Linked DNA regions of Ovis aries. The protein of the gene in region 3 purifies or fractionates together with the protein of the main gene of each other region. This does not show direct contact. Links are inferred from orthologs where the notes say so. Each region holds a gene or a part of one and is shown on either strand. Other genes may lie near its edges. The genes, in order: DTNB, UTRN and TNS2.

Region 1 (3,748 bases), about 100 Mb from region 3:
TGTTTGGTAGATGGGGTGTATTAAATGCATTTTTAACCTACTGTACTTTCAATTTACAGTGGGTTTATCAGACATAACCCCATCAGAAGCTGAGGAAGATCTGTATATACATTTTTCAAACTCCACCAGCTCTGCACAGGACATCTGTGCAAACATCAATAAAGGTGATTTAGAAATAAATGGCAACCCACTCCAGTAATCTTGCCTGGAGAATTCCATGGACAGAGGAGCCTGGCAGGCTACAGTCCATGGGGTTGCAAAGAGTCAGACATGACTGAGAGACAAACACTTCTACTTCTAAATGTAAACTAAGTATATAAATAAATAAAACACAATATTACTGAGAAAATGGAGAACAAGGCATACTAAAGTACAGCACTGAGGTACCCCAAAATAAGAACTAGTAGACACCTGATGGATGCACTCTTAATTAAGTGTTACCGCCCTAAAACTAAAGAGAAATTGACTTAGTTCTTCAAGGCTCACCACACAAGGCCAAATTTGAATTAATATTTTATTTTTATACAAGGAAACATAGGTCCTGAGAGATTTAAAGATATAAAGTAAGTGCTTTAAACCAATTCCATTGGTTTTAAATCTGACTTCCTAAGTAGAAATTTTCTCTCTCAGTCATAGTGGACACTCAAAACTCCTGCCAACACTACGCTGACTACACAACTGCCTTCAAAGGTAATTCCACTGATGTATGATAAAAATCCTCCCAGAACTCATAAAAGGTCAAGTTTTAGTTTGGCAGACAAAGTAACCCAACAGGCACTGCAACCCAGGCAACTGAAACAGCAGCCTGGAGCTTGAGAGTCCAGAAATTCAATGAAGGCAGGAAAAAACGCAGAGTCCCAGCCCTCATGGGTAAGATCAGAGTCACATTCGCTGACCACAGATCTAAGATGCAAGAGCCAAGATAAAAATGAAAGCATGCTCTCTAGACAGACATTTTCCCCTTCCTCAAGTGACAGCAGAGAGAAAGGCCAGGATGGGATGATTTGAAGCAATGACCCTAGGAGTAAGACCCTGGCAGTCAACACAGAATAAAGTAGCGAAGGTGGCAGCACAGCCACAAGATACAACTCCATCACCTTAGCCACTTGCTTAGCCCAAACCTAAGAACCTCTTACAGGGCAAAAAAGAGAGAGGAAACTTAAGGCACAAGGGAAGTCCATCAGCATCCCTAACATCACACTGATCAACAGTGCTTCACATAAAATAGAGCAAAACCTTGCTTGGTCCATTCATTCATGCAGTTTTCAGTGCCTGCTGCTTGGGAAGAAAGGGAACTTCCTCTTTCCAATTTCCTTTTTTCCTTCTCTCTCTTTAAATGTTACACAGAAGTGTCTATAAAACTCTCCCAAATACCTCCCACAAGCTTCCTTGACCCTCCTGCTTTAATCCTCAAACCAAGCAATTTTATGGCTCCAATTTCCCAATACTACTGGGAAGAAGACAAAGTGAAAGAGACAAAATTCAAAGCTGCTTTGTATTTCTTACGCAAACCTTTACAACCAAACTGCCAGCACCTAAGTAGCAAATGATGGTTGTGCTTTACACAATTGTGACCCCAGTGCTGACTACGGTTCTCTACCCAAGGTAGTTAACCAACAAACTGTCTGCTGAGGCTGCTGGAAGGTCTTCCTAATCCCAAGGCCTGGCACAGGAATTTAACAGCAAGCATTCGTTAGTTGCATCCTTCCTCCTCTCAGGACACTTTCCTTAAAAGGGTGACCTCGGTGCACAGGGTCACAGTTAGGCGCCTCGGGAAATAGTGTTTGGGGATGATCTGAAATAAATTCCCTTCCCTCTGCCAGGGCCTGCCTGACTCACCTGCCCTCTGCCAGGACCTGCCTCCTTCGCCCCCTTCAACACCTAATGCAGAGCCTCCTTCCACCAAGCCGGGCTCGGGCAGCATCACCCTGCGCCCGCACCCCGGCTCCATGTCCGCCAGCCAAAGCGCGATCGGAACACCGGAGCCCCCTACCCGACCCAGGGCTCAGAGGCCGGCAACGCCGGCCGCGGAGTCCGCTCCATCCTCTCCGCTCGCCCCTCCAGGGCCGGGAGCGCGGAGCGGTCTCCGTTCACAGCGCGCGCGGTGCAGCGGCCCCGGATCCCGGGGGGCCGTCTCCGCCGCTCCCGGCCCTGCAAACCCCCGCAGGCTGCCGGGGTGCGGGCGCTGCGCGGGTGCCTTCCCGCTCCTTGCGGGCGCGAGGCTCCGGCACCGCGCTCCTCTCCCGCAGCCTGGGGCAGCGGCCGCAAACCCTCGCCGTACTCACTTCCCGGCCGGATCTGGGGGCGTCGAGAAGGACTCCGGCGGCTGCAACCTCCTCCGCCTCCTCCGGCCCGGCCCCCGCGGTTGTGGCGGTGGCAGCGCCCGCTCAGGCCTCGGAGCCGCCCCCGCGGCGAACGTTCTCAGGCACCCGGCTCGCGCCGCTTACCCTCCCGGCACGCGCAGCGAGCCCGCCCCCGGTGCGAGGGCGCGAGGGCGCGAGGGCGCAGGGCTGGGGGCGGGCACGCGCCGCCTGCGCGAGCGCGCGGCTGGGGGCGGGGCTTCCGCCGCGCCGAGGAGGGGGCGGGCCGGCGGGCCGGGTTCCCTTCGAACCCCGCCCCCTGCGGCCCGGTTCCGGGAGGGCGGGGGAAACTTGCCCCCTGCGGGCTTTTCCCGAGAGCCGGCGGCGGGCGGCGGAGGTGCGTTTCAACTCCACAGGTATGTACCCCGCCACCTGGATGTTCGGCCCGACGTGACTACAAGGTAAAGAATGCGAAGAACCACCCCCATAAATCATTCATCATCCGCGCCTGGAGCAGGAGTCACTGCCCTGAGTGGTATTTCCAAATTAGTTCAACTCAGCAAACTGTTTACTGAGCACCGACTCGGTGCCTAGCTCTGTAACGCTGTACCAGGTGCTGTGTGGGTACACCGTCACGGTCACGGTCCCCGGTCTCCAGGAGCGCATAACTTAGTGGAAAAGCAGCCGTGTAAACAACCAGGTCTGGTGACCCATGCAAAGCCAGAGCCACTATGAGATGCTGTGGGAGCTCAGAGGAGGAAGAGATTACTTCCGCCTGGACGATGCGGAGAGGTTCCTGGAAGAGGCGGCATCTGTGTTCAGCCTGCAAGGAAGATAGAGAGGAGTCCTAGGACGGAAAAAAGGGAGGGACATCAAAATTTAGGTAAACAGCTTGGGCAAAGGAACAGAGAGCGACGGAGGTGTACCATCTCTGCATCGGCTTTTTTTGAATATCCGTTTTTGATAGAATCCTTTCCAAACTACGTGAAACAGATGATGCTACATGGGGAACAGCAAAGCTTTTTTTTTTAAGCACTCAAAAGATCATTCTTTTCTTAATTTATTTTTTTTAATTGAAGGATAATTGCTTTACAGAATTGTGTTGGTTTCTGCCAAACATTAACATGAATCAGCCATAGGTATACATTTGTTCCCTCCCTCTTGAACCTCCCTCTCTACCTCCCTCCGCATAGGATCATTCTTGTCAACATCATTTAAGGCTGAAAACAGCAGTGTCCTTTAAGGACTTTTGATATGTTGGTGGCGGATGTAAATCCGTAAGCTAAGACAGCCCTGTGCTTTGAGTCTGGTTTTTCACGCTTTTTGGCACCTTATAGTAAAGCAGATTGTGCCACCTTCTGCTGTGGTCTGCCTGCCTGTCTTTAGAGCATCCTTTTCCTCCTGCTCTCCTCTTCCTATTTTTAAACCCCTAAGGTGAAGAAAGTGCT
Region 2 (3,748 bases), on a different chromosome or scaffold from region 3:
AGGACCTCTGTCTCTTCAGAGCGGTCTGTTCAGTGCACCCCGAGCTGGCCTATTCCCCAGCGAGCTCTTCCAAGAGCTTCTTCCCAATGACAGCCATCTTCAGACAGACCATAGTCTCTTGTAACACTCTTCTCCATCAGCTCAAACCAGAAAGCAGGAGGTCTGATCCTCCTGTAGCCTCCTCCAGCTTAGAGGAATCTGTTCACCCACCCATTCCTCAAGCGGAACCTGAGACTCCCCTGCCAACAGGCATGGGCTGAGTGCAGAAGGAAAGCATAAGCTTCCTTCCTGTCCTTCTTCTGGAGCTTTCAGTCTAACAAGGACCCATACACTTCCCCCATATGCTTCCATCTTGAATCCCCATCAGAATCACTTGGGCAGCTTTTGAACAGTTACAGTCAGGGCCTCAGTCTAATTATACCAAGATCCCCGGCGTGGGGCTCCAGCACGCTGGTGATTCTAACGTGCAGCCAAGGTTGAGAATATGTGAACCCATTCAAAATGACTGACTCAGAGTTCTGTCAGCCTGAAGAGAAGGCAGGAAGGATGGCAAGAAAAGCGAGGCCTCCCAGAAGTGGCTTCCTGGGCAGACCTAAATCATCTGTGCGTTGGTAGATGCCTGCAACTCCGAGTAAGTTTTTATTTCACACCTTCAAGCCTTTTTTTAAAAACTTATTCTCCTTCAATTAGATTATTTGTTAACATTTGGGCATTTGTACACAGACATCAAGATTAAGAAAAGGCAAAGAAATATTTTAAATATTTTAAAATGTAATGATTCTATACCAGAGAGAGAGTGATACAGATAATCAGATTTCAACTTACTGAGAAGCAAATGCACTAAATTAGAGTTGCACATTTTAGAAGATAACACAGGGCAAAAGGATGGGCAGTTTCAAAAATAACACTGAAAGGCTTATTTTCAACAAATATATATTTCAATTTATTCCATTTTATTACTTGTTTTATTACTCCCTTTAGGTTCTGCAGAAGTCATGTGAAACCTCAACCCCAGTAACATCAACAGTTTAATGCAAAACACTTATGGTTTCACTCTTTCCACCTTACTTGAGGTCTGTATATAAAGGATTCACCCCAAAGTTTAATCTATTATGGAGACTGCTTGAAGATCAAAAATAGCCACATATTGCAATGGAATGTGCCACCCATAAACATGTACTTTTTTATACCTTTATTTACAAGATCACTAAAGAGAGCTATCCTGTAGATATAAGAAAATAGTAAATTAATAACAGCCAATAAGAAAAGAATCTAGGTCCTTGCAAATCATATACACACTAATCTTCTATTTTTATTAAAATAATGTGCCCTAAAATGTATTTTTTTTAAAAATGCTTTTTACTTTCCTAAAGCCTTTGGACTGACCACAGAGTAGGAAATAATGCTGTATGAATGAATGAGAATTCATGTTTAAAGCTGAAGTCTACCCGTATAAAAGTTTGCTTATTATTTAAAAGTTTATTTGAATTTTTTACTTCTAATTATCTTCCTATTTCTGAGACCCTTGGTAGCAAGACATTACTGCACAGACTAGCAGACAATGAAGATTATTCACGCTGGGAAAAGGAAGAGAATTAAGTGAAAGTCAAGATATATATTTGTAGCCTTTCAATGCTGCTCTTGTACCTGAGGTTTTAATTCAGGTTTCTGACAGATATTTTAATTTTCTGTTGAGACCACACGGTTCTTTAAATAAGAGAGAAAAGTAACAGCCAACAAAGTGAATTATACCATGCTGATCTCTTATTACACTTGGCCAAGAAGCCAAATTTGCTAAGAAAACATGGGCTGCTCCAATCATTCTAGTTGAGAATTCATTCCAGGGAGAGGATGCCTACCAGCATTTACCACCACATTCACATGGAGTTAGGGAGGAAAACTTAAGAGGGAAAGAGTAATTCCAAAAGAAAGAAAACCATTTTTTAAAAATTCTGACCAGTCTAAAAGTTGTTCCATACTAACAACATTCAAGCATGATATGTAAGGTCAAGTATTACACATCACTTGAGTTTTTTATTTTTTTTCCCATCAAGTTTCTTTGATCTATATGGACATCAGAACTAATCAAAAAATCTAGGTCCCCCTGGAAGTAAACTCCAGCAACAGAAAAGTGCATGACCACATCTAACATGAAGTTCCGAGTCTGAGTTCTTCTGCACAAGACTGCCTAAACACAAAACCCCTCCATTTACAATCTGCCCAAAAGTACGTCTGATTCTCCCCTTAATCAGCTCTGAACCACTTTTAAAAGTAAAATACATTTTTAGTCAGCACAGTAAATCAAGTACAATAGTACACTATCCCTACGCAACAGCGCAAAGGAAACTTTCTCTATAGGACAGAAATAAGCTAGTTTGAAAATATATGAAACATGTTGTCACAACAAATATATGGCTCCTTATGTACTTTTTTCCAAGAAGCCAAGAACTGGAAAATCATCGCATTCTGAAGAAAAGATGAAACCCCACAATGCTGGTCTCGACTCCTCAGACTCTACAACAGATGCGACATCAGGAAGAACATGCCGGGGTGTTCCCATCCCCAACTTGGTCCTGCCTCCAGCAGCTCTGTTACTTAACACACTGGGTTCAGTAAGTGACTGAGAGAGCCCCGTCTTGGCTGACATCCTCTTTTCAAAACCTCAGCGGAGGGAGGGCAGGGAGTCAGGCAGGCAAGCTGACAAACTTACCTGGTAAATGCTTGCCAGACTGGCGAGCTACGTGTCCTGGCACATCAAATCTGTACTTTTTCCAACGAAACGCAGTGGCCGCCGGGCCGCTCATCACCTACATTTGCTTAAGTGACGAGGAAAAAGATGCAGAGGAAGTGGATTTTAACAGAAGCAGCCTGCGAACTGCACACTGGGATGTCCTGTTTCGCCGTGGCTTTTATTTTTCCCATGAGAGGATCTGACTAAAACCTAGCTGAATCTCTTCTAAATACCAGACAGGATGTTACACTTCGCAGTTAGTGAAAATTCCTTAGGTCATTTTCTGTCACTGTTCTTTTAATTGTCACAACGCAGGGCCTTTGAATGTTTCTGATCCACTACAAAGAGATTGTAACTTTGCTTCCTGTTTTTGACAGCGTCAGCTGATAAGGACACCTCCACCCACCTCCTTACCCACATGTATATAAATAGAGGTGTTTGCCCTGGGTATACAACTGGACTGAAGAGTTTGGTTATATATTAACTCTACTTCAAAGCATAAATTGAACTTGTTATTTCACTTCAATATGCATATACACCTTGGGAAAAATGGAACTCAAAAGAATTTCTTAATTCCTTAGAGATTGCTATTATGGAAAAAAATACATTCAACCACACAGAATCATAAGATCAGAGGTAACAGTTTTGACTCATATTTTCCAGCCTGTTCTATCTTGTGTATTTGCCTTGCTCTTTTATTATCACGGAACACAGATGTCAGGTGCCTCAGTGATAAAGAATCAATGCTGGAGTCACAAGTTCAATCCCAGGGTCGGGAAGATCCCAGGGAGAAGAAAATGGCAGCCCACTCTAGTATTCTTGCCCAGAAAATCCCATGGACAGAGGAGCCTGATGGGCTACAGTCCATGGGGTTGCAAAAGAGCTGGACACGACTTAGCAACGCAACAACAGCAACATACAGATGTCATCCACACACATTCAACAGCAAGGAAAACCATGACCCATACTGCCTCATGGGCTTTTTATTCCTGTTTAACTCTTTTTTTTCTCTCCTGC
Region 3 (3,315 bases):
ACATGGTGAGGGCAGGGCCCCAGAGCCCAGTGAGAGCCCATGCTCCGCTGCCCCACCCGCACCCTGCTTGCTGCCTGTGCCAGTTGCCTGTTTTGCTTCAGTGTTTGATCTAGCACTTACACGTGTCCTCCCCCACCAAGCCCTCCAGTCTCCTAGCCTCTTGACCCTGACTCCTGCCCACACTGTGGCTTCCGGGAGGGAGAGGGAGCAGGAGCCGTTGGCCTTGGTTTGGGGAGAGTGGGCAGGGCTTTAGGGGAAGCAGTGAGCTGTTGTACTGCGGGGGCCTCCACTTTGGCCCTCCCTTCAGGCCCTGCACTATGATGTATGAAATGTATGTACAGACCAGAGATGTTTATACAGCCAATAAAGATGGAGTTTCCATATTTATCAGTACAGCCGGGACAGGGGAATCCTTCCCAGTACACGAGCCGGGGACTGGGCTGGAGGAGGGAGTGGCGAAGGGCTGTGGGGCCAGGGAGAGGGATCATGTGTGTACCACAGGCATGGCTTGGGCCTGGGGTGCCCTAAGAAACACAGGTGTGGTCCCGGGAGACCCGAGGCTTTGTCCTTCCTGGAAACAGGCATGAGTCTAACTCTAACTAAACATTATAGAAACTCTTTATTATTAGACAAAAATAGACTCTTATTTTTTTTTTCTTTCCCCCCCTTTTCATGTGATCCTACTCTGATCTCTCTGCTCAGAGGGGAGGTAAAGGAGGGAGTGCCTTGCTCCCCACACCTCTCCCCTCTCCCTGCCGTGCTGGGACCTGCAGCTGGTAGAGCAGGCAAGGCCTGTCTCCCCCTCCAGCGCAGATGCTCTCCTGCAGGTGGGGCTGTCCAGATAACCCCCTCCAGGCTCCACCACCTCACCCTCACACACCGTCTCTGCCCTCTGCTCACATGCAAGGTCATCTCATGGGCCCATCCACTTCGCTTAGCAGGCTGGGGGCGGGGAAGGAGAGCAGCGTCCCAGGCCGTTGTGTCCGCTCCCCATTCCTAGGGGAGAGGCCGGCTCCTGGGTCTCCTGGGTCCAGGCCAGGGGAAGTGAGGGCTGTGTGGTGCTGAGAGGGGCACAGTGTCGACGTGGGCTTGGAGCTTGTGGCCTTCCTTCATTTCCTCTGGCCCAGTAGAACTTTGGTGATGAAGGTGACAATGGCGCCTGCAGGCTGATCTGGGTCAAGCTCTGCGAAGAGGTGGCACACATTCTCCCAAGGGCTTCCCGGCTTCTTGGCCACGAAACCAAAGATCCTGGGGGCACAAAGGCAGGGTGGGGAGCGATGAGCACCCCTTCCTCAGGGATGGCCATGCCAGGGATGGGGAGCAAGCAGGCGCCTGGACACCATGCTGATGCCGCGCTGGGAGGGGAGATGGCACCCTGGCAGAGGCTTACTTGGAGGTGGTCCCGTCGGAGTTGGTCCATCTGCGGAAGGAGAAGAACTGTGAAGGGATGCACCCAGGGAAGAGCTACCAGTGGAGAAGCTGGGCTGTGGGGACTGTGGGATGAAAGGGCTGGGAGGGAGGGTCACCTCCGGTCCTGAGGATCAGTGCTGGAGAAGGTGATGCTGTTCACTGGATAATGGCGGCGAAAGAAGAGCCTGGAAGGATGAGGGTGGGGAAAGTCACCCAGAAATCGGGGCTCCCGGGGTCTGTGCCTGGGGTCCCCCAGGGGCTTACCCGGCACACATACTCACTTCCTTTGATTGTCTGTGAGTGTGATGCCCTGGGCTGAGACCTTGAAGTGGACGACGGCTGGCGCAGGGCGAGGGCTGCAGCTCAGAGCTGCGGAGCTGGCCCGTGCCACTGCTTGGGGGCCTGTCAGCGACTCCGTCTCCACTGAGGTCAGGTAGAGCACGCTGCAGGCTGCACGGTGAGGAGTGGGTTGAAGGGAGCAGGGAGCAGTGGCTCTGCCAACCCCAGTTCCATCTCCCCTCCGTGTTCCACCCGCCCAGCTCTCGCATTTTCCCCAGCTAGTGCTGCTCAAAATGCATCCGTCACACAGGTAGCCTGTTAAAAAGGCAGGTGACTGCGCGAGGTCTTTAGTCAGAGATGCTGGAAAGAGGCTGGAGAATCTGCATTCTAACAAGACCGCACCCCTGCAGCCTAGACAGGTCTCCCCATCCCATCATGTCTATGGGGACAGGCCTCCCCTGCCTTCCTGGGTGAGGTGCATCTGCCAGGGCTGGCCCACACACAAGGCCTTTCTGTTCCCCATGTGTCAGGGGTGTCCTATCTGGTGCGCGGGGAAGGGAAGGAGGGAGAGGCCCGTACCGGCGCCTTGACGCAGGAGGTCTGCCGCTGTACTCATGTTGCTGGGCACTGGGGCCTCTGGGACCTCCTCCAGAGGATCTGAGGGAAATGGGGGTCAGCAGGGAGTGGCAGTCCCAGGAGCTGAGGGTACCCTCTGCCGTCCCAAGGGAAGGCAGGCAGGCAGGGAGCCAGGACCGGAGATTGTGCCTTTGGCCACAGTGGGAGGGGAGAAGGGGGAGGACAGATGCCCAGACACCCACCTTTGCTGGGAATGCGCAGGCAGCAGGGCAGGGACAGTGGGGAGATGGAGTGCTGGGAGACCAGGGCTGACAGGCTGCCTGCAGGGGAAAGGCGAGCGGGCTCCTGAGGTGCCCAGAGACACCTCCAGTCCTCCACCTCCCTCCTGACACCTCTTGGCCTCCCTGCAATGCCAAGTGCAGCCTTCCCCACCCCTGCTTCTCACCAAAGTAGGGCTCGCTGGGACAGCCCTTGATCTTCACCCCTTTGGGCCCAGTCTCAATGAGAAAATGGCGGACCAGCTGTTCCGAGGGGTCCCCTGACAGGAGTGGAGAGGAGGGGAGAAGATTCCAGGTTCTACTTCTCTGCTGGAATTCTCTACCAAGCAGGAGAGCTCATCTCCTCCTCCTCCCTACTATGAAGTGACACGGGCCACCCTGCCTGGTCTTGCCTCTGTGCCTCCCTCACCCCATCCCCTCCCCCTCAGGCTGGGCCACTCTGTACCTTTCCAGGACTGGGCGCTGGGAGGGGGCGTGGCCACCTTGAGAGCCAGCCCATAGGCTCCTTGGAATGAATGACTGTCCCTGATCAGGAAGGCCCCAGGGTCTTTGTCCTTCAGCAGGGTGATGGCTGGGGGAGGCAGGAGAAGCTTTCACAGGGGCAGACCAAGCCCCAGGCAGCCCCTCCGCTCTGCTGCCCGAGCCCCCCAGACCTCTGGCCCTGACAGCTGTGGTGTCAGCACCCAGGATGCCACTGGGGAGTCAGTGCACTGGGCACTGAGCAGGTGAGACCTCCTCGGGCCTAAAACCCAGAATCATCTGCTAGAAAGAG

The links.
Region 1: the proteins of TNS2 (region 3) and DTNB purify together in Homo sapiens (affinity purification with mass spectrometry; 3 studies listed by BioGRID and IntAct, with this or other methods). This does not show direct contact. The link is inferred for Ovis aries from reciprocal best matches to the Homo sapiens genes TNS2 and DTNB.
Region 2: the proteins of TNS2 (region 3) and UTRN purify together in Homo sapiens (affinity purification with mass spectrometry; 4 studies listed by BioGRID and IntAct, with this or other methods). This does not show direct contact. The link is inferred for Ovis aries from reciprocal best matches to the Homo sapiens genes TNS2 and UTRN.

Annotation. Positions count from the first base shown.
Region 1 is NC_056056.1:33,029,763-33,033,510, forward strand, and holds the start of DTNB (dystrobrevin beta), read right to left. Parts: upstream 2,459-3,748; 5' UTR 2,286-2,458; intron 1-2,285.
Region 2 is NC_056061.1:68,902,381-68,906,128, reverse strand, and holds the start of UTRN (utrophin), read right to left. Parts: upstream 2,827-3,748; 5' UTR 2,805-2,826; coding exon 2,711-2,804; intron 1-2,710.
Region 3 is NC_056056.1:133,377,895-133,381,209, forward strand, and holds the end of TNS2 (tensin-2), read right to left. Parts: intron 3,115-3,315; coding exon 2,989-3,114; intron 2,804-2,988; coding exon 2,711-2,803; intron 2,586-2,710; coding exon 2,508-2,585; intron 2,347-2,507; coding exon 2,269-2,346; intron 1,861-2,268; coding exon 1,692-1,860; intron 1,596-1,691; coding exon 1,527-1,595; intron 1,421-1,526; coding exon 1,391-1,420; intron 1,249-1,390; coding exon 1,110-1,248; 3' UTR 601-1,109; downstream 1-600. UniProt on the Homo sapiens protein: Tyrosine-protein phosphatase which regulates cell motility, proliferation and muscle-response to insulin. Phosphatase activity is mediated by binding to phosphatidylinositol-3,4,5-triphosphate (PtdIns(3,4,5)P3) via the SH2 domain.